Neurospora crassa OR74A: one gene and its partners. The protein of the gene in region 3 purifies or fractionates together with the protein of the main gene of each other region. This does not show direct contact. Links are inferred from orthologs where the notes say so. Each region holds a gene or a part of one and is shown on either strand. Other genes may lie near its edges.

The links.
Region 1: the proteins of NCU09317 (region 3) and NCU02808 purify together in Saccharomyces cerevisiae (affinity purification with mass spectrometry; 3 studies listed by BioGRID, with this or other methods). This does not show direct contact. The link is inferred for Neurospora crassa OR74A from reciprocal best matches to the Saccharomyces cerevisiae genes MEX67 and NSP1.
Region 2: the proteins of NCU09317 (region 3) and NCU01160 purify together in Saccharomyces cerevisiae (affinity purification with western blotting; 3 studies listed by BioGRID, with this or other methods). This does not show direct contact. The link is inferred for Neurospora crassa OR74A from reciprocal best matches to the Saccharomyces cerevisiae genes MEX67 and DBP5.

Annotation. Positions count from the first base shown.
Region 1 is NC_026501.1:9,051,273-9,057,652, reverse strand, and holds NCU02808 (hypothetical protein), read right to left. Parts: upstream 3,657-6,380; 5' UTR 3,050-3,656; coding exon 1,199-3,049; intron 1,090-1,198; coding exon 892-1,089; 3' UTR 542-891; downstream 1-541. Other genes in the region: NCU02809 (hypothetical protein), read left to right, coding at 4,494-4,569, 4,660-5,061, 5,213-6,021, 6,080-6,380.
Region 2 is NC_026505.1:3,083,899-3,090,248, forward strand, and holds NCU01160 (ATP-dependent RNA helicase dbp-5), read right to left. Parts: upstream 3,451-6,350; 5' UTR 3,089-3,450; intron 2,884-3,088; 5' UTR 2,859-2,883; coding exon 2,131-2,858; intron 2,078-2,130; coding exon 1,840-2,077; intron 1,783-1,839; coding exon 1,297-1,782; 3' UTR 379-1,296; downstream 1-378. Other genes in the region: NCU01159 (hypothetical protein), read left to right, coding at 1-3, 121-378; NCU01161 (actin polymerization protein Bzz1), read left to right, coding at 4,254-4,298, 4,376-4,587, 4,669-6,230, 6,286-6,350. UniProt on the Saccharomyces cerevisiae protein: ATP-dependent RNA helicase associated with the nuclear pore complex and essential for mRNA export from the nucleus. May participate in a terminal step of mRNA export through the removal of proteins that accompany mRNA through the nucleopore complex.
Region 3 is NC_026501.1:4,263,349-4,269,699, forward strand, and holds NCU09317 (hypothetical protein), read left to right. Parts: upstream 1-2,725; 5' UTR 2,726-3,252; intron 3,253-3,328; 5' UTR 3,329-3,459; coding exon 3,460-3,897; intron 3,898-3,979; coding exon 3,980-5,500; 3' UTR 5,501-5,885; downstream 5,886-6,351. Other genes in the region: NCU09318 (ATP-dependent DNA helicase mph-1), read right to left, coding at 1-2,237. UniProt on the Saccharomyces cerevisiae protein: Involved in the export of mRNA from the nucleus to the cytoplasm.

The DNA of each region.
Region 1 (6,380 bases), about 4.8 Mb from region 3:
GCCCTTGAACCAGAATCTCATAATGCGGCTGAAGAGTAATGAAGTTATCAGGAAAGCAAGCCAGCCTACGTAGTTCCGTAACTAATTTTTTTTTTCAAAACCTAGTTACTTTGATCCAGACTCAAGACTCTTCATTATCTTAATGCCACTTACATGGAACATGAAAAAGAAAGCAGACGGGACGGTACTTTACTGAAGTATTAACAACTTCAAGTCCGTCTTATAAGAAATTTCACTGATACCCACCGACGTTCTGAGTCACAACAATGATGCTCTACGTCTCGGTTTTCAAAATGAAACTCCTGGCAGTCGGTACCTATATGTACAGTTCGGCAGTCCGATATGTATGATATTCACTCGACATCATATGAAGACAATATATCGAAAAAAACAGACACATGAACTCCCTTCCAGATGTAATGAACCCCTTTTTGGACTGTGGCCATTACCTTGAACCCATCTTGTTTATTGATTTTTGCTTCCACAACCTAGAATAAGTGGCCTAGCCCAGCCTAGCATAGCATAGCCTTTTTTCTTGTCTCCTAACCCATCCCAAAGCCAGACAGACAGACAGATCTCAGCTACGTAAATTAACATCATCGATCCCCCCCCATCCACAGCCACGATACATATACAAGACGTTTCAAATCATACCATGATGGTCTTTCACAGACTAACAAAACAAACCAACAAACCAACAAACCAACAAACTAGGGTAGGTAGGGTACTCAAAACTGAACACACACACACACACACAGACAAGTTCGCCGCCATCCGATTCTTCAGCCTCTTTCTCTTTCTCTTTCACTCATACTTCACTTTACTTTAGCTTCCTACAATACAGCATCATCAAAGCCCATTTATTTCCCTTCCCTTCCCTTCCCTTTCCCTTCACCTGTTCACACCACCGGCCCTGTACGAGCGGTAAAAGCTCTGAGCGGCATCCGACTCGTTGACGCCTTGGTGGGCACCCATGCCGCTGGTAGCCTTTTGGGCAGCGGCCACCTTGGCTTGGAGGTCGGCGGCGTTTTGGTCGATCCACTGAAGCTGGTGAAGGTGACCGTTGAGGACACGGACGATTTGGCTGAGCTGTTGTGTTTTGTTTATCGTGTGCGTTAGTGATTGGATAAAATAAGGGAAAAATGGAGAAAAAGGAGAGAAAAAGGAGGAGAAAAAAAAGGGAGAGAGAAAAACATACCGGATCATCAGGCTTGCTCCCCTTGCTCAACGTGCCCGTCATATCATTTATCTCCTTGATCATCTTGGCCAAATCCTTGCCCATCTCATCCAGCCTATCCGTCAGCTTCTCGGCAAGCTTATACGTCCTCTCGCGCTCCTGATCGGGGCCCAAGCCGTCGCCAACACCGCCAGCAGCCTTTGACTCGCCGCCGGATCCAAGCTGCTGCTTCTTGAACAACTCCTCCAGCTGTGCCTCGTACTGGTCCAGCCACGCGGTCAGCTCGTCCTGCTGCGACTCGACGCCCGAGAGCTGGCGCTCGATCTCGTTGCTGGCCTTTTCGGCCTCGTACGTGCTGGTGTACAGCTTCTGGATCTTCTCGCCGTTTTCGACCAGGAGGCGGTCCCATTCGGCCACCTTGGCGGCTTGCGACTTGAATTCCTTCTGGTACTTGGAGAGATCGGTGGCCCAGCGGGTGATGATTTCATCCATGGTCTTGTTCTTCAACCGCGGGAGAGTAGAAGTGGGGCCGGTGGTCGTGGAGGCGAGGTTGCCGGTGGTGCTGGTGGTGCCGGCGGCAGTAGTGGTGTTGTTGGTGGTGGTTTTGGAGGTGGTGGTGTCCGCAGGCTTGGCTCCTCCTCCAAAGAGACTGCTGGTGGTTCCAGCAGTGGCGGTGGTGCTCCCACCGGCAGTGGTGGTGGCCGCTGTGGTAGTGGCGGGCTTGGTGGTGGCCGCACCGAAGAGGCCGCTAGTTGTGGTCGAAGACGAAGGAGCAGGCGCCGTGGTTGTGGTCGTCGAAGGCGTAGTCGATCCAAACAAGCCTCCTGATGCTGGGGCAGTAGAGGTAGTGGTAGCATCCTTGTTGGCGCCGAACAGACTGCCGGAAGCAGCAGTGGTGGTAGAGGTGGCAGGAGCTGAGGTAGCAGGAGTGGCGCCGAACAGACCACCCGTAGCTGGCTTTGCGGCTTCGGCCGGCTTGCTTGTGTTGGCACCAAAGAGGCCGGAAGTTGCTGGTGCTGTGGTGGTCGTGGTCGATGTCGTAGCCGGGGTTGTCGAGGCTCCGCCAAACAGGCTGCCACCGCTGGTCGCAGGCTTCGCGCCAAAGAGAGTAGATCCGGAAGTGGCTGTCGTCGCGGGAGTTGTGCTGGACGCAGGCTCGGCTGGCTTGGCGCCAAAGAGACCAGAAGTGGTGCCAGAGGTGGTGGTCTCGGCTGGCTTCGCTCCGAACAGAGATGGTGTTGTTCCCGAGGTGGGGGCAGGGGTTGTGGTCGGGGTACTCGAGGCTCCTCCTCCTCCAAAGAGGTTGCCAGAGGCAGGCTGGGTAGCACCAAAGAGAGAGGGCGCGGCCTTGGAAGCGTCAGCAGCAGGTGGTGCACCGGCTGGGGTAGTCGATCCTAGTCCAAACGAGGTCTTAGCCGGCGTCGTCTGAGAGTTGGCGCCAGCTCCGAAGAGACCACCGGTAGCCGGAGTAGTAGAAGCATTGTTTCCAAACAGACCTCCCGAAGGAGCTCCTGTTGCGGGTGTGGTGCTGGCCCCGCCACCAAACAAGTTCGAGCCACCAGCGGCGGGGGTTGTCGATGTGTTGGCAGTGGTGTTTCCAAACAAGCCTGCGCCAGGCGTCGTGCTGCCTCCTCCGGCAGTGTTGGAAGCAGAGCCGAAAAGCGAAGGTGTAGTCGAGGTGGTATTGGCTCCGAATAGTCCTCCAGGTTTCGAGGCATCTGTAGGCTTAGCGCCAAACAAGCTACCGGCTGGCTGTGTCGAGCTCGCTGCTGGGGTGCCGAAGGAGGAGGCTCCGAAGAGACCACCGGATGTAGCAGTTGTTGCTGGTTGGCCCGAGGCCGCGCTGGAGCTTGGTGTACCGAAGAATGACATGATTGCGATTATGTGAGGCTGACGATATGATGTCGAGGTTTCGGGGTTGGTTGGTTGGATGGATGGATGAGGCGTTGGTGGTTGGGTAGTCGTCGTCAACCAAAATCTAGAAAGTCAACAACAGCGTCCCACTTCCCAAGGCTGTTGCGGTTACCTCAACAACAACAGGGAGCGCGCGGAAACCCAAGCAACGATTCGTTGAAATGCGAAGAGGAAGATCGGCGCGATCTCGGTTTTGAGTAAGTGATGCAATGGTCCAGCCGTGGTTATCGGATCGCGAGTTTTGGACGTCGGTTCGGAATCCGTTTGGTGGAGTGGACGTGGACGTCGTTTGGGCGTGGATTGGAGAAAGCAAAGAAAGTGTGGCAGCGTCACTCAGTCTCTCGGTCTCTGTTTGTCAAGGTTCCGTCCGTCGCGACAGGCCTTTCCACTTTTTTGGAGGTGCTGCAGCGCGCCTGGGCTTTTCCCCTTCTGGGGACCCGGACGCGCACTCAACAAGGCCAAGCATTTCCCGCTTATTGGAGCACTCCAGTCACCACTGCAACGAGTCAGCCCCAGGTGAAGTGGTCAGCCTCACCTCACCTACCCCGTCTAACATTTTACTAGCAAGTGCCAAGCGTGCACGGCCAATCAATATGTGGCTTGACGGCAGTTCGACAACTGACGGAGAACTTGAGCAATGACGGGGCGGGCCTCATAAACTGAAGCGAAGTGCTGACTTTCCACTTGCCGTGATGCTCTTCTGCATTCTGACTGGACCGTCTGGTTGCAGCACATTACGCAGCGAGTTACCATACAGTTTCCGGACACGGCGGTACCTTAGTACCATACCGTACCGTACCGTACCGCACCGTCCCAGGGTAGCCGAGCAAGAAGCAGGAGCCCCGTTCAGTCGTCTCGGAAAGCTTGGGGTGGTGGTTACCCCATGTTCTAGATTAGGCCATCGTGAGCCCATCCTCTAGACTAACTCTAGGCCATCCGGAAGCTGTTCCTTTCTCTCGTCTCTCTCCACACACATTGCTGTCCATCGTCTGGACATTGGGATGCCACAAGTCAGCCGCAACGTCTGTGTGCATACCCAATCTTGATTCAGTTCACTTTGACCTCAGGCCATCTGCTGCGTGCAATTGACCTATCTCCTGCAGAGTATAAGAGTCGGCTTACTCCCGTCTTGTTATAGGACACTCCAGTCCTGTCCCTCACAGCAGTAAACATACTGTAGCACCCCACACCAACTACATCACTCCTCAGTCCTCACCTTGGCCCCCCGATCCCCGATCCCGATCCTCCCATATCCATATCCATATCCATATACATATACATACACCTATCTTGCTTCCTACCTACCATATACATTTCTGCGCTTCCTTCAGCACTCACCATAGTCGGAAATCCTCTTGTTCTTTGATCGTATAGACCGCCGCGACTACGCTTCGAGATCACAATGGCTTCGCGCAGGAACAGTCTGTCGCCTCCCGAGAGGCAGGGGACCATGGACCCGGGCGCTCATGAGCTACCTGGTAGGTTACAGCTGATGGGGAACTTGGGAGACCTCTGGACAAAGTCGGCACATGGATATCCAACTAACCATTCATTCTACGCGACAACAGGCTCCGACACCGAAGATCACTACTCCGATGCCATCTCTTCTCCCAAAGCTCCCTCCTCGCCCATCCCGCGAACAAGAGTCGAGAGAGTAGACGACAAGCCGGCGTATGGAGAGGTCCCGGGGACCAAGGCGTATTCTATGAGGGAAGGGGACGCGAAGCCGGATGAATTTGCCATTATCCCAGACCCAGACACCAAGCTCTCGACCGAGGAGCATGACCAGCGCCGGCCGTCCACTCCAGGCGGGCGCCCCATTCCCATGACCGTAGTGGAGGAGACGCCAGATAGCACTGGTGCCGTCACCCACCATGAGATCGAAGCGAGGCACAGGGTTGACAGTCCTCCCGACGTGCTTGTCAAGGCGGATGGGCAAAAGGTCGAGCATGAGAAGGGTGGTGACAATGGTACGGATGCGTAGCACTTCTTTCTAGCCACACACACACGCGCGCGCACACACACACACTTTCACAAGCACATGCCTGTTTGTTTGTTTTTTTTTGAGCCAGCAAATTATACAAGATCTCCTTTGTATTGACTTTACGTTTTCCTGCGTAGATACACCAATACCACCTGCATTAAAGAGTCCCGCCTCGATCCATTCTAGAGACTCGTCATCTGATCTAGACCAGCCATCCCCTGACTCGCCCTCATTGGGGCCCAGTCTTCTAGAAAAGGAGGAGGCAAAAGATGACGCGCACGACAATGTCGTACGAGACAACGCCAAGACCGCCGACGACGAAGACGCCGATGAAGATGAATCCAAGAAGGAGGAGGAGAATGTAGAGGTCAAGACTGAGCAGGCTCAAGATGGAGAGGTGGAGGACGAGAAGCACGAGGAGGAACAGTCAAAAGACCGCGACACCGAAGAAGCATTGAAAGGAGACGAGTTCGAGGATGCCAGCGAAGAGCTTGAGACGCAAGATACAAAGGAAGAAGACACAGAGGACCACTTCGACGAGGCAGAACCCAGTCAAGAGAACGAGAAGAAGGTCGAGCCAGAAGAGGACAAGAAGGACGATGTCAGCTTTGACCAGAAAGAGGAGAAGCCTGTTGAAAAAGATGGGTTCGACAACGACGACGACGACGGATTTGCTGAAGCAGGGGATAAAGCCCCCGACGATGACGGGTTTGGTGATGACGACTTTGGGGACGACTTTGCTGAGCCAGCTCCGGCTGGCGCCGATGACTTTGGGGATGACTTTGACGACTTTGAGGAGGGAGCCGAGGCCAACAACGATGCTGACTTTGGCGACTTTGACGATGCCGGCTTTGACGACGATGACTTCCAAGAAGCCGAAGGGTTCTCAGCTCCAGCACCTGCTCCTCAGCCGCAACCACAACAACCGCAGTCCTCATTATCCTTCGTAAGTCCCCAACCCAGTTACTCCCTCTACGTCCAACACACACTAACATATCCCCTAGCAAATACCCGACTTCACCCACCTTTCCGCGTCCGAGATCCTCTCCCTCACTTCCCCTTACCTCAACGCTCTCTTCCCTCCCTCCCCCGACACCGACGGCGACGACTCCTCCTCCTCCCCCATCCCCACCCTCAATGTCTCCAACGGCATCACCGACCCCATCTTCCAACACCCCCGCTCCGCCTCCCTCTGGTCACAGCTCGTCGCCCCTCCCCCACTCCAACCCCCCGACTGGATCCGCTCCCGCATCCGTCGTCTCTTCCTCGTCTCCCTCGGCGTCCCCGTCGACCTAGACGAGATCC
Region 2 (6,350 bases), on a different chromosome or scaffold from region 3:
GACGTGAGTAGTGAGTACCTTGTACCCGATAATTGATGAGCCCCAATCGCCAACTGGGGTTTATTGGACCTCTCGCTATGGCATCATTGCTTGGAGGACATGAGAGACGTTCCATTGCAGGCAGGGCTTCGACGGTGTTCATGTCCCTTGCACAAGGCGGCTGACGAATGGAGCCGCGAAGAGGAACAAGCGATCTGGGGAGAGGCACTTGTCCTGGGCGAAATCCAGGTCCGCCGTCCTCTTATTGGTCTGAAAAGATGGCAGGTCTATTTCGGGCGCCATAGTATCCGGGATTGCACATGGCTGGTACGGTTCTCCAGTCGACTGGCCAAAGGTGGTATGCAGGAACAACATCCGCAGATAGATGTATGGCTGTGAAGGCTTGGAGCTGGGAAGAGGTGGGCGAGTAAGAGGTTGACGCCGGACACGCGCTTGGTCGGCGCTTAAAAGTACTTCGTTGTGGGCTGGACCCCGGACACGCCTAAGGGTGGTGGGCGCTAACAAATCAACAACGCTATTCCCGTTCGGGTACTGCCCCCAGATTCTCACCAGCCACGAAACTCGCCTCAACGATCCAGTGGTTCTGTACACCACACTGCCTTGAGGTTGTCTTCATCCCCCAAGCCACCATGATGCACTGCACAGCCACATCCACATGCTACCAGTCTTGAGTAAACAGCTTCCCAACGACTGGAGACAAAAAGAGGGAGGGGAACTACGCCACTATCCAGCTGGACTCGGACCACGAAGTAAAGTTATGGTACCGAGGGCGATGCTGAGCCCAACGTGTTGTGACTTTCGTCGTGAGGTGGGCATAAATGTATAGCACGGCGGTTGAGATAAGCGTTCTTTGCCCCCCCTTCCATACGAGACACAATGCACTTGACATTTTCGTGATACCCTGGCGTCTACCGGTGTATCAACGTCGGGTAGTATCGAACGCGTCTTGAGCAATCTTGCTGACTGCAAAAGTTATTTATCTTTCGCCCCTTGTTGGTATCTCTTTGATCTAAACTCCCGATTCCCATTTTGAATGACGGAATATGCGCATCATGAGTTCACTCCCACATACCCTTTCCTTCTGGGCTTCCCAACATCTTGATGTCGCAGCAACGATGAAAAGACATGATCCCTCGCCTACGCTAGATGGTTCAGTTGATAAACTCCTTGTGTATTAGCTCACCACCATCCGCTAAACTGCTGAGTCTCCGGCGGCGGCGGCGCCGAAGAGAAGAACGATTTCAACGACTTCAACGACGACGACTCCCCCTCAACACTCATTGATCGGCCAACTACCTAAACGGCCGAATCAGTAGCGCTGGGAACGTACTCCGCTTGGGCCCTGCTCGACTTGATAACTTCTTGCACCTTCCTCTCGGTATCATCCAGGTCGTTGGGATTCAGCTGGATAAGGTCGATTCCGTAGAACTGAGCGATCTGGGAGAGCGCTTCGAAGCTCCTACGGTCGTGGACAAAGCTGATCGAGACACCAACACGACCGAAACGACCGGTACGACCAATACGGTGAAGGTATGTCTCTGCGTCCGGCTCCCTTTCGCCAGGTCCCTTCATCGGAATGTCGTAGTTAATGACCATGGACACACTGGAAACATCAATACCACGTGCCAGAACGTTGGTGGTGATGAGGACCTTGGAACGTCCGGAGCGGAATTCATCGAGAAGAACATCACGGCTTTGGCCTTCGTAGGCGCCGTGAAGGGCCGAAACTTTGTGACCATCTGCTTCCATGCGCTTCTGGATCTCGTTGGCTGTCTCTCTCGTCTGGAAGAAAGCACGTTAGCAAATGTCTACAACAGTATTCGAGGGGAAAAAACATACCCGGACGAAGATGACGGAAGAACCAATGGTCATGAGACCATACAGCTTGCAAAGAATGTCGTACTTGTCCTTCTCGGTAGGACAGTCCATGAACATCTGCGAAATACCTTTAACCGTAAGCTCCTTATGCTTGAGCTTCATCTGGTTGGCGTTGGGTGCGAAGCGCTCGGCGAATCTCAAAACTTTGTCTGGGAACGTCGCAGAGAAAAGGAGGATCTGAATGGTCTTGGGGAGCATGCTACTTAATGTCAGTAAAGGTCGCATAACACTAGTGCCCAAAGATGAACTTACTTCTTGACGCGGACACACTGGTCACCCAGACCCTGCTGGTCAAGCATGTTGTCGGCCTCGTCAATAACAAGAACCTTCAACTGCGAGATATCGAACTGCCTGCGCTTGACAAGGTCCATGACAGTTCCCGGAGTTCCCACGACGACGCTGCCTCTAACACCCGTCTCGCGCGAGATGGCACCGGGAATAGCAGCCTCGACAATCAAATTCTCGCAGAACTGACCGATGGTCTGGACAACGGTCTGGATCTGGCGGGCAAGCTCTCTGCTGGGAGCAAGCAGAAGGGCCTGAGGCTGGTGGGGCTTGGACAGGTCGATGCGGGAGAGAACGGTAAGGACGAAAGCGGCAGTCTTTCCAGTACCGGATTGAGACTGGGCAATCATGTTGCGGGGAGGGTCGGAGAGCATGAGAGGAAGGCACTTCTCCTGGACCTTGGAAGGTTTCTTGAAGTTGATGGCGAGCAGACCGCGGTTGACAGCCTCGGGGAGACCCAACTCATCGAACGAGCTGACGGAGTAGAGAGGACTTTCGGTGTCATTCTGAAGATCGCTCAACTTAATCTCGACTTCGTACTCGTTCTTGACAAGGTTGCTCTGGCTCTCCTCGATGGAGGTCTCGTTCTCGGGGGCCTTGGGCTCTTCGGACGCAGGGGCAGACACGGGCGCAGCCTCGGGGGCGGCAGCCGGAGCCTCGTCGGGCTTGGTGATGCGGCTGGCGAGATCAGCCATTATGACGTCGTAATTAGGATGACTGCTAGCAAGAATCAAAAATCGCACGGTCAGTACGATACGTTATATTTTTTTCGCCCCCCCTTGGATATTCCGGTTACAGCAAGAAGCCGAGACGTGGGTGAGTCAAGTTTCAAGCTGCGCTTCGTCAGGTCTTGATGCCCCGCGTCCCAATTCAACGCGTCAGGCCCAGGCCGCAAGGACGGGGAGGCGCAAGCTGACAAGCTTACCTTGGAGGGAGTTATTGTTGGAGTAAACAAAATGTTCTTTTAAGAGATCCGATGGAAATCTTGAGCTGTTGGTAACCACAAAGCAACTGCCAGCAGTGGTTTGTGGGCGGGAGAAGGAATGCGAAAGGAAAAGGAAGCTGGCAGAAAGAGATTCTGGCAGCGGCAGGGCTGACTTTGAGAGGAAGTCGCGACGCCATCAAACCAGAGTGATAGTGGGGCATCTGCACCTTCCTCTACACTAGTGTACGCAGTATACGTACCTACTTGCTGTTCTACCTCTAGTGTAGAAGTAGTGCCGTAGTGTAGTTGGTACTGTACCTGCCCTGGAATTAACGCTTGATGCCCTGGCAGAAGCCGGAGGCCAGAATGCCTGGTCAAAGCACGAGCCAGCAGCGGGTGGCTTAGTGCAGGTGGCCGGGGTCCCGCCCGCTGTCTCTTTAAGGAGGCTTTAAGTCCATAGGTGTTTAGTTCAGTTGTTTCTTTGGCCAAACGAGGTTTCTCTTTCCGTCTTTTGAATTCCAATTCTTACCTCTAACATATCCCTAGAGTTACGTAACGAACGAATGCTTCTTCGGAACCAATCTTCATGCAGTTAACGCATACTGCCTAGACCGCACTAGCACCGACCAAGCCGCAGGTCCGACGGCACAGCTGGGGCCTTCTTGAATTGAGTACCTCGAGGTTAGCCACCGGCACCCCAGTTATCATTACTACCTACCTCTAGGTAGGTACCCAACTCAGGTCTTGCCGGCTGCTCGGGCTACGGTGTACGGACCGGGATAACCAGCCGAACGATTACATAGCACACCTTCAGCTGTTGGAGGGGTACCTCCTACCGTCTCTTGCTTTCTTGCTCTACTACTTAGTTGCTTGTTCTTTTAACGCTGTATCTGCCGTGCTTCTTCTATCTCTGCTTGGAGTAACACTCAAACGCTCCGCCAGTCCCGCCCATTCCTCCAAAGACCCAACGGGTTCCTGCCGCTACTTGTACATACCCAGGACCAGCACAGCACGATTCATCATCGATTCAGACACGACGACAGCCGACGGAGCAGTCCCACTCATTCTCTCCCGAAGTCTAGATTGCATGTATACCCGACTACTGGTTTGCATGGTTATCCACGACGACAACTCTCAATATTAAAAGAAGCTCCTCCAACAAACTATGGCCGAGGGCGAAATCGCGCCATCCTTTGGCACCGTGCTCAAGGTTGTCTTCATCTCTCCTGGCCTACTCAGAGGCTTGAACATGTGCTGGTGGCCTTGGACTAACATGCCCGCATGCAGGATGGCTTTAAACCGGCCAATGTCTATGTGGCCAACAACATTGCCTTCTTTGACGATGTGCAGGCTTTCTTCCGTGAAAGGAGCGCCGCCGAGAAGCGATATAGCGCCGAGCTGAGCGCAATAGCAAAGAAGTACTATGACAAGAAAGCCAAAAAGTCAACGAGCCTGAGTGTCGGCGACACCCCCACAATGACCCCTGGGTCCCTTGAGAGGTACGACAAGGCTCTTTGGAACATGGTCACATCTGCCTAGGTGTTCTATTCCAGCTAACTGACCGGTTTCCGTGTAACTAGCGCCTCGATGACTACATGGTCTACCATTCTAACCAAGCTTGAACTGGTCGCCAGCGAACACGATCGACTCGCGAACGAGTTTGTCACCAAGATTGCGGAACCGATCAAAGAAGTGGCCATTAAACTGGACGCGCAACGCAAGCGCCAAGTCGAATATGCCGAAAAGCTAGAAAAAGAAAAAGAAGCCCAGTATGCCGCACTGCAGAAGGTCAAGACCAAGTACGACTCGGTATGCCAGGATGTTGAGAGCAAACGCAAAAAGTCAGAGTCGGCATTCGACAAGGCAAAGGCGCAGAGTTCGTTTCAACACCAGCTACAAGAGATGAACAACATGAAGAACACCTACCTGATCGCCATCAACGTTACCAACAAGCAAAAGGAGAAGCACTACCACGAATTCCTTCCCGAAGTTATGGACAACCTGCAAGATCTTGCCGAGTTCCGCACAATGAAGTTGAACGGGTTTTGGTCCGAAGCCACTCAGCTTGAGTTTTCCATGCTTCAGAACTGCAGTGGTGAGGTTGACCACATGGCCAAGGAGATTGTGCGGAATGAACCTCAGCTAGATTCGATGATGTACATGCAGCACAACACCGGTGCCTTCCAGGAGCCTCCCGACAAGGTGTTTGAGCCAAGCCCAGTATGGCACGATGACGATTCCATGGTTACGGACGAGCCAGCCAAAATCTATTTGCGCAATGTGCTGAATAAGTCAAAGGGCCAACTTGGAGAATTGCGGCGTGAGGTAGATAAGAAGAGGCGAGAGGTGGAAACAACCAAGCGAGCGAAGCAGAGGGTGCTTGAAGGGACAGAGCAAACACAGGATGAGTTCTTGGTTCTCACGCAGCTCTTCTTGCAGCAAGAGGACCTGCATCAGGTCGACCGGAAGCGGCTGACAGCAGAGGTCGAGACGTCCACCATTACTTCAGCCGTTGGTGACGTGACACTGGGTGCCAAGAGCCACAATTTTAAGTCGCAAACCTTCAAGATTCCCACTAACTGCGATCTGTGCGGAGAGAGAATATGGGGCTTGTCAGCCAAGGGCTTCGATTGCCGAGACTGCGGGTATACTTGCCATAGCAAATGCGAGATGAAGGTACCGGCCGAGTGTCCAGGGGAGCTGAACAAGGAGGAGCGTAAAAAATATAAGCAAGAACGACAAGAGCTGGCCAACACGCTGCTTAAGCCTTCCACATCGTCGAGCCATGTTAACGAGATGCCTGATCTCACTCGGTCAAACACAGTCAGCTCGGTGCGTTCTGGGTATGCGGCCAGCGCTCAACGATCGATTTCCGGGCCTATTTCGCCTGGCGACGATGCGCCTCCAGATGTCCCTAACACGAGGCCACCGGCAGCCTCACCAGAACCGTCTAGCGTACCCCGGAAGAATCGTATCCTGGCCCCGCCACCCCCGGCATTCATGAGCGAAGTGCCAGGAAGCGCCTCTAATGGCGGGGGGCATCAGGAACAGAAGGCGAAGATGCTATACACCTTCGAAGCTGGAGGTGAAGGCGAACTCTCAGTGCTCGAGGGAAGAGAACTTGTGGTCTTGGAACCAGATAGTAAGTACCGTTGTCCTTTGGCATGATTGATACGAATAGCTCACACACTTATTAGCGGGAAGCGGGTGGACAAGGGTGCGGGCTGGCTACAAGGAAGGCAATGTACCGACATCATACGTC
Region 3 (6,351 bases):
GCAGGTGGCCTAGCGGGTGGTTTGGCTGTCTTAGCTCCAGCTTGACCAAAGAAAGAAGCCTTGATGAACCCTGTTTCAACACCGTCAGGCATGTTGAACTTCTTCTTTGCCGGCTTTGTCCTCATTCTTGCGGCAGATCTTTTTGGTTCTGGGAGCTCTGGATTTTGGGAGTTCTCAAGTGGAATCTCCACAACCTTCTTTTCCACCTCAGGTCGTATGTCTCGTGGCACAATACGTGAAGAAAGGTCGTGACGAAAGGTAAAGCGGCTGCCCTCGCATATCATTCTCTGCATGGTCGCGTAGTTGTCCTTCGCCTCGTTGAATTTGTCTTCCTCTTTCCCTTTCATCAACAAAAGTACAATGTTACCCGCTCTCTTGCGGCCGGTACGACCCATACGCTGAAGCATTCGGATCGGTGACGCTGATGCATCGTAGCAGACAATGAGATCCACTTGGCCAATATCAAGACCCTCCTCGCCAATGGATGTTGCGACCAGAACGTTGTGAGCGCCGTTCTTGAACTTCTCGATCGTCTCAATTTGTTGTTTCTGTTTCATGCCCTCACTCCTCTTCGAGTCCGCTTGTCCAACGAAGACTGTGGCCTTGATAAGGGGTTGCTTGTTGAGAATGCGCACAATCTCTTCGGCACTGTCTCGGTATTCACTGAATACAATGGCTCTGGTATTGGAGCCCTCGCCAGCATCCATGAAGTGGTTGACCAGGGTCTCACAAAGATATTCCAGCTTGGGGTGTCCGAGGAACCCATCAATCTTCATCCAACCCTCAATCATGTCCATCATCTTCTGAAAGTTCTCATCCTCCAAGACTTGCCGCTTGAGCTTTGACCCTTTTCCTCCTTTCTCCTCCTCGGTGGTGCGGAATTCGGCCAGATTATTGTAGAACGGTTTGATTCCATGGAAGTTGAGTAGTTTGATGGAATGCGCCAAACTCTGGAGAATCGCAAATGTGGCTATGACACTGAATTTGGTTCCTTGGTTTACGTGCCTACCCGGACCTGCCATCCAGTCATTCCTGGCTTTCATCAGGCCGTAGGTAGTCAGGCTCATGGGGTCCCTGCCGTAGTATATATTTTGTGAACTCAGCTTGGTCACAAGGGGCTTCAGGGCCTTGGAGAACAAGTCTCTGACTTCCATCATTTCGTCAGAGGGGTCGAATGTTATCGTGTTGATGTCTCTTGAGTGCACATATTGACGAATGTCGATTGACTCTTCGGTTCTGATCTCGACGTGAGAAATGCCCAGATTATCAATGACGTCCTGAACACCTTCGAGAGACGATCCTGGTGTAGCAGTCAGAGCAAGAATTCGAAAGCTCTTGGAGAAACGCCTTAAAAATTCGACCACCTTGACGTATGCATAGTCTCCAGTCGCACGATGCGCCTCGTCAATAACCAGCAGTACGATGGACTTGGGATCGGCATAGCCCTTGGAAAGGTCATTCATTAGTGTTTGGGGTGTCATGAAGAACAGGCGCTTTGTTGCCCATTCGTCCTCACGTAGAACAGGAGGAGTCTCTCCGGTTAGGAGAGTCGCCTGAGATCGCGGGATGCCCGCTATGCTGAGACATGCTTGAACTTGTTGTGAAGCAAGGGGTTTCGTAGGAGCAACAAAGACAGCCTTTGCGGTTTTTGTCCAGCGGATGTAGTTTAGCATGATTGTCGCAGCAATAAATGTCTTTCCCAAACCCGTGGGGAGGGCGACCAATGTGTTGTTGAAGAGGCCATTTTTGACAATGCTGAACTGGTAGTCTCGAATAGGTCCCAGATTCATCGGATAAACCCATGTTTTCATTTCTTCTATGTCAATCTCATGGTGAGTGGGCTGCTCTGGGGGCATATCGGCACGGAATGGTCGATTCGACACCGCTTGCGGGGCGGGTTGCGCATCCTCCTCCAGCGTGCCACCCCATAGTGTCGTCTGACGCAGATTCTTACGCTGGCTGGACTGAGCTAGGGACGGGCGAGACGTTGTCGCTGACGTGGTCGGCTTGCTTGCTGTTTTGGCACGCCCTGTAGCTGTAGCCTGACCCTGCGATACGGTTGGAGTAACGATTCGTCTTGCAGAATCGGATATTGGCCACGCTTGTGCTGGTGGTTTTGCCGACGAGGCAAGCTGCTTGCTGTTGCTGGGGTGATGTGATGTGATGTTGCCGGTGGCCTGGGTGAAGGCCAACATCAAATCCTCATCAGGAATATCGTCAAAGTCATCGTCATCCATGACTTGAGAGTTGTGAGGTTGTAGAAAAGAAAGAACCTTGACGATTCGAGATTCGATGCGCCGATGCTTGGGCAGTTAATACAACCGGACTTTGTTTTCTTGCCTTTTTTTTTTAAACTTCTTGTTCTGGTGATGAAACTTAAGGCTTGTCGGATGAAATTCTTGGAAGTGAAACAATTGACATTCATAACAGTCCGTTTGCATAGGTGAACCGACCCTATCGTCACACAAGCCCGGCCTGATATGAGACGCGTCGCTGTTTTAATGGACGGGCTATTCCCTTGACACGTTCCATCGCCATAGCACGTGAATTGGTGTGGGCAGTCTGGGTGCTGCCGCCTGGGGAGTTCGCAGCAGAACAGCGTCAGAGTGGGGCTGTTGCATCTTGGGTGGGGCAGGTTTGCGTCAAAATCCGATCGCTTGTCTCTGTGGTCCGCTGGAGCCTGGCGCACTGGTCGGAGCTTGGCTCATTGCCTTGAGTTCAAGTTGCATGCTCCTCCACTGCCGCCGCTAAGGTATTTCCTTTTTGGAGGTCCGGCAGGCTGAACCTTCTTTCTTCCATTCTCCAATCCGTCATCGAAACCTTCCTCATTTCTCGACCTTCTCGCGTCGTCAGTTGGCATCGGCAGCCCAACAAACTCTTCAGTACTGACCGGCTGATGACTCTTGCGCATCCTCGTACTCGCCCGTTGCTTCAGAGCTAGCAGCTTCCGTACGCATATTCAACCAACGATCACGAGCGAAGCGGCGGCCTTCTACTTCTACTTCCGTACCTTTGGATCTCCGCGTCGTCTTTGTCGCCCCACCTCCAAGCATCTTTTACATCTTTCTTTACCTCGACAAATCCCTTTAGAGAAGCGCACCTAGACTCTAAGCGAAGTGTCCTTTGACACCTATCTGGGCCACTCTCAAATACAGCGTCCCAAATCCACCCAGCGGTGATCAATCCCCGGTCGGCATCGGCCGCCTGTTTTTCTTGAGCAGGCCGCTCTCCCGCCTAACGGCGACACCAAAGGTAAGCCTCGACTCTGCATCTTAGTACCCTTCCCCAGTTCCCCCGACCACGACCGGAACTTTGACCATCGGGGCAGCGAAGAAGTCGGCGAACAAGGACAACTCGCAACTCCACGACTCACTGTCCTTTCATCAACAACTCGGCGAGAAAAAAAAATCACCCGCAACTCACACCGAACGTTTTCTCTTCAGAATTCAACGAACAACCATGGCACCTCCTACTGGTCCTCGCGCCGGAACTGGAAGGGCTCCTCCTCGTGGACCCCGAGCAACAGGCGGCGGTGGCGGAATCCAGAAGCGTCGCGCAAACCCGAGGACGGACCGAGATGGAGATGTGTCAATGGATGCTCCGGCTGGTGGCTCTGGTAGGGGTGGGTTGGCTTCCGGTGGTCGAGGACGTGGCTCCAAAGATGCTCGAGGTGGAAGAGGTGCGGTGAACTCCCGGACAGCATCCCGGGTCGTGCAGAACCTACAGAACTACGTCAGCGGAGGTCCCGTCGGCAAAACACAGTCCAATATGGCCACACTGAAGATTCACGGTATGAGCAATAGCAAAGCTACCGGCAATCGCGATGGAGGGCTTCGGTCACTTCTCACCTTTCTGGAACGAAAGGCTTCCAAAGACAAAGCAGTTACAATCGGCAAGGTATACTTTCCCATCCACCGACATCCCCAAGCGCGCAATATTCTGCAACTGCGATAACCGACACCTTCTAACCCATCGATAGAGTATAATGGACGGCGATTATGTGTGGATCACGGTCAGAAAAGATGACGCCCCGGAGATCTTGAGGCTCAATGGCTTCACCTATGCCGGTGCACCCCTGACGATTACGGAAACCACCGAGAGGATGCCTCGCCCCGAAGACAAGATTTCCAAGGCTGCTGAGGAGACCAAACAAAAATTGACAGCAGTGCTAGCTGCGCGCTACAATCCAGAGTTGAAGCTGCTTGACTTATCTTCTCTTGGAACCGATCCCATCCTCAGCAGCATGGGCACGTTTGATTCCAAGGATCGGGCCGAAAAGGCCTTCAAGGTCTTGGTAGTTATTGCTAGTCAGCAGTACAAGACCGCTGCCGAAAAGCGTGAAGGGATACAGGCCATTTCCCTTGCTAGCAACGGCCTTAACGACGTCATGCAGGTTTTCACGCTTGCTACGTCACTTCCAGATATCAAGAGACTTGACCTGAGCAGCAACAACCTCGACAGTCTGTCCAAGATCTCCAAGTGGCAGCACCGCTTTCAGTACCTCGAAGAGCTTCATCTCACAGGCAACCCCATCACCACCCAGCCCGACTTCGTGGCAGAACTCATCAAATGGTTCCCATCGCTACAGAACATCAACGGACAAATTGTTCGCAGCCCACAAGAGGTTACTGAGGCCCTCAAGGGCATGCACCCCACGCCACTACCGCAGTTCCCCTCCAACCTACGGGACGGGGAGGCCAATGTGGCGAGCATCTTTGTCCAAGTTTTCTTCCCCATGTTCGACAGCGACAGAGCTCGCCTCGCCGCTGAGTTCTACGACGACGACTCGTGGTTTTCGATTCAAGCCATTGCCAATTCTGGTCGTAATCTTCCTTGGAAAACTTACCTCAAATACTCCCGCAACGTTCACAAATTGGGAGAGAAGAATCCAGCAACGGTACAACGTCTCTTCACCGGAGGAAATCTCATTGCGGACATGTGGAAGGCTCTCCCCAGTACTCGCCATCCAAGCATGGAGAACCCTGGTGCCTGGCTCATCGACTGCCACACCTTCCCCAACCTCGCGGACCCCACCGGCCACGGCTTCGCTACGGGATTGCTCATCACCGTCAATGGCCAGTTTGAAGAGTCCGATACTACAGAAAACCTCTACGGAAAGCGCACCTTCACGCGCACGTTCATTCTTGGACCCAGCAAGCCGAGCAACCCGCCGCCGGTGCACCCATACCGGGTTATTAGCGATCAACTCACCCTTCATGACTGGACACCCGCGGAGACACCTGCTGGTCAGGCCCCTGTCGCCAACCAGGTCCCGCAGGTTCCGGTTACCAACGCTGTGCCTCCAGCAGAACCTGTCATGTTGGATGATGCCACGAAGAACCAGCTGATTCAGGAGGTGATGAAGCGGACTGGCATGACAGCAGAATACTCAGAGTTGTGTCTCAGTGGCACTGCCAACTGGAACTTTGAGCTGGCACTCAAGTCATTCGAGGAGCAGAGGGCGAACTTGCCGCCCACGGCCTTTATCAACGCTGTCTAGGGGACAGCGCAGGTCACCAGCGTCAGCATGGTTTGTTAGTTCATGGTGGATCAGCGCTAGTTGGGTAAATACCCTCTGCCTGGATGAGTTGGAGACAAAGGAAAAGGAAGACAAAAACTACTGAAAGCCAAGGAACGAAGACTGGGAAAGAGGAAAGGGTTTAAGGGTCAAGGATGAACTTTGTACAATACTTGCATTGCCATACTATCTCAAGGGAGCAACGGAATGGGTCGGTTAGCGGAATTCTTATAAGGCGGTCACTCGACTTGATATTGCGGAAACTTAGCGTGCGTTAACAATTGAGATACCTGGAGCTCTTTTGGGCTTTGACCAAAGAGTCTCCCACATTCACGGTTTTTTTTCATCTAATTATAATCTCTTTTATTAATATTTTCTCCTATTTGGGTGAGGACGCTTACGGAAGATGCTCGAGCGTAATTGGTACACAACGTTCATGCTGGTCAGGCCCAGTAGCTTAACCACCGTGAAATTGGTAACCACGGTTGTGATAAAGTACGAGATCACACAGCTAATAAGATCTCGAAGCCGCGCGCCATTCTTGGCGATTGGGGTTTGGTGGTGAGCATCTGATTGTTGGTTTCCCCATCATGCGACGTTTCTTGAATCGCTGCTCCACTGCGGCCACTGCCACCCCGGCAGTGGATCGGTACCTGCATCTGTCGATCTTTCATAGGGCGGCTTTGGGAGAAAAATGCTGAGTGGTCCTGGTACGATGAGCAGTCATCATCACCTGTTTGGCCTCGTCCAATGGGCGCCGGCAAGAGTTTTATCGGATGAGGGGTAGTATGGGCGCTTACTTGTATTGATCTTGGTTGTTACGACTTACGATG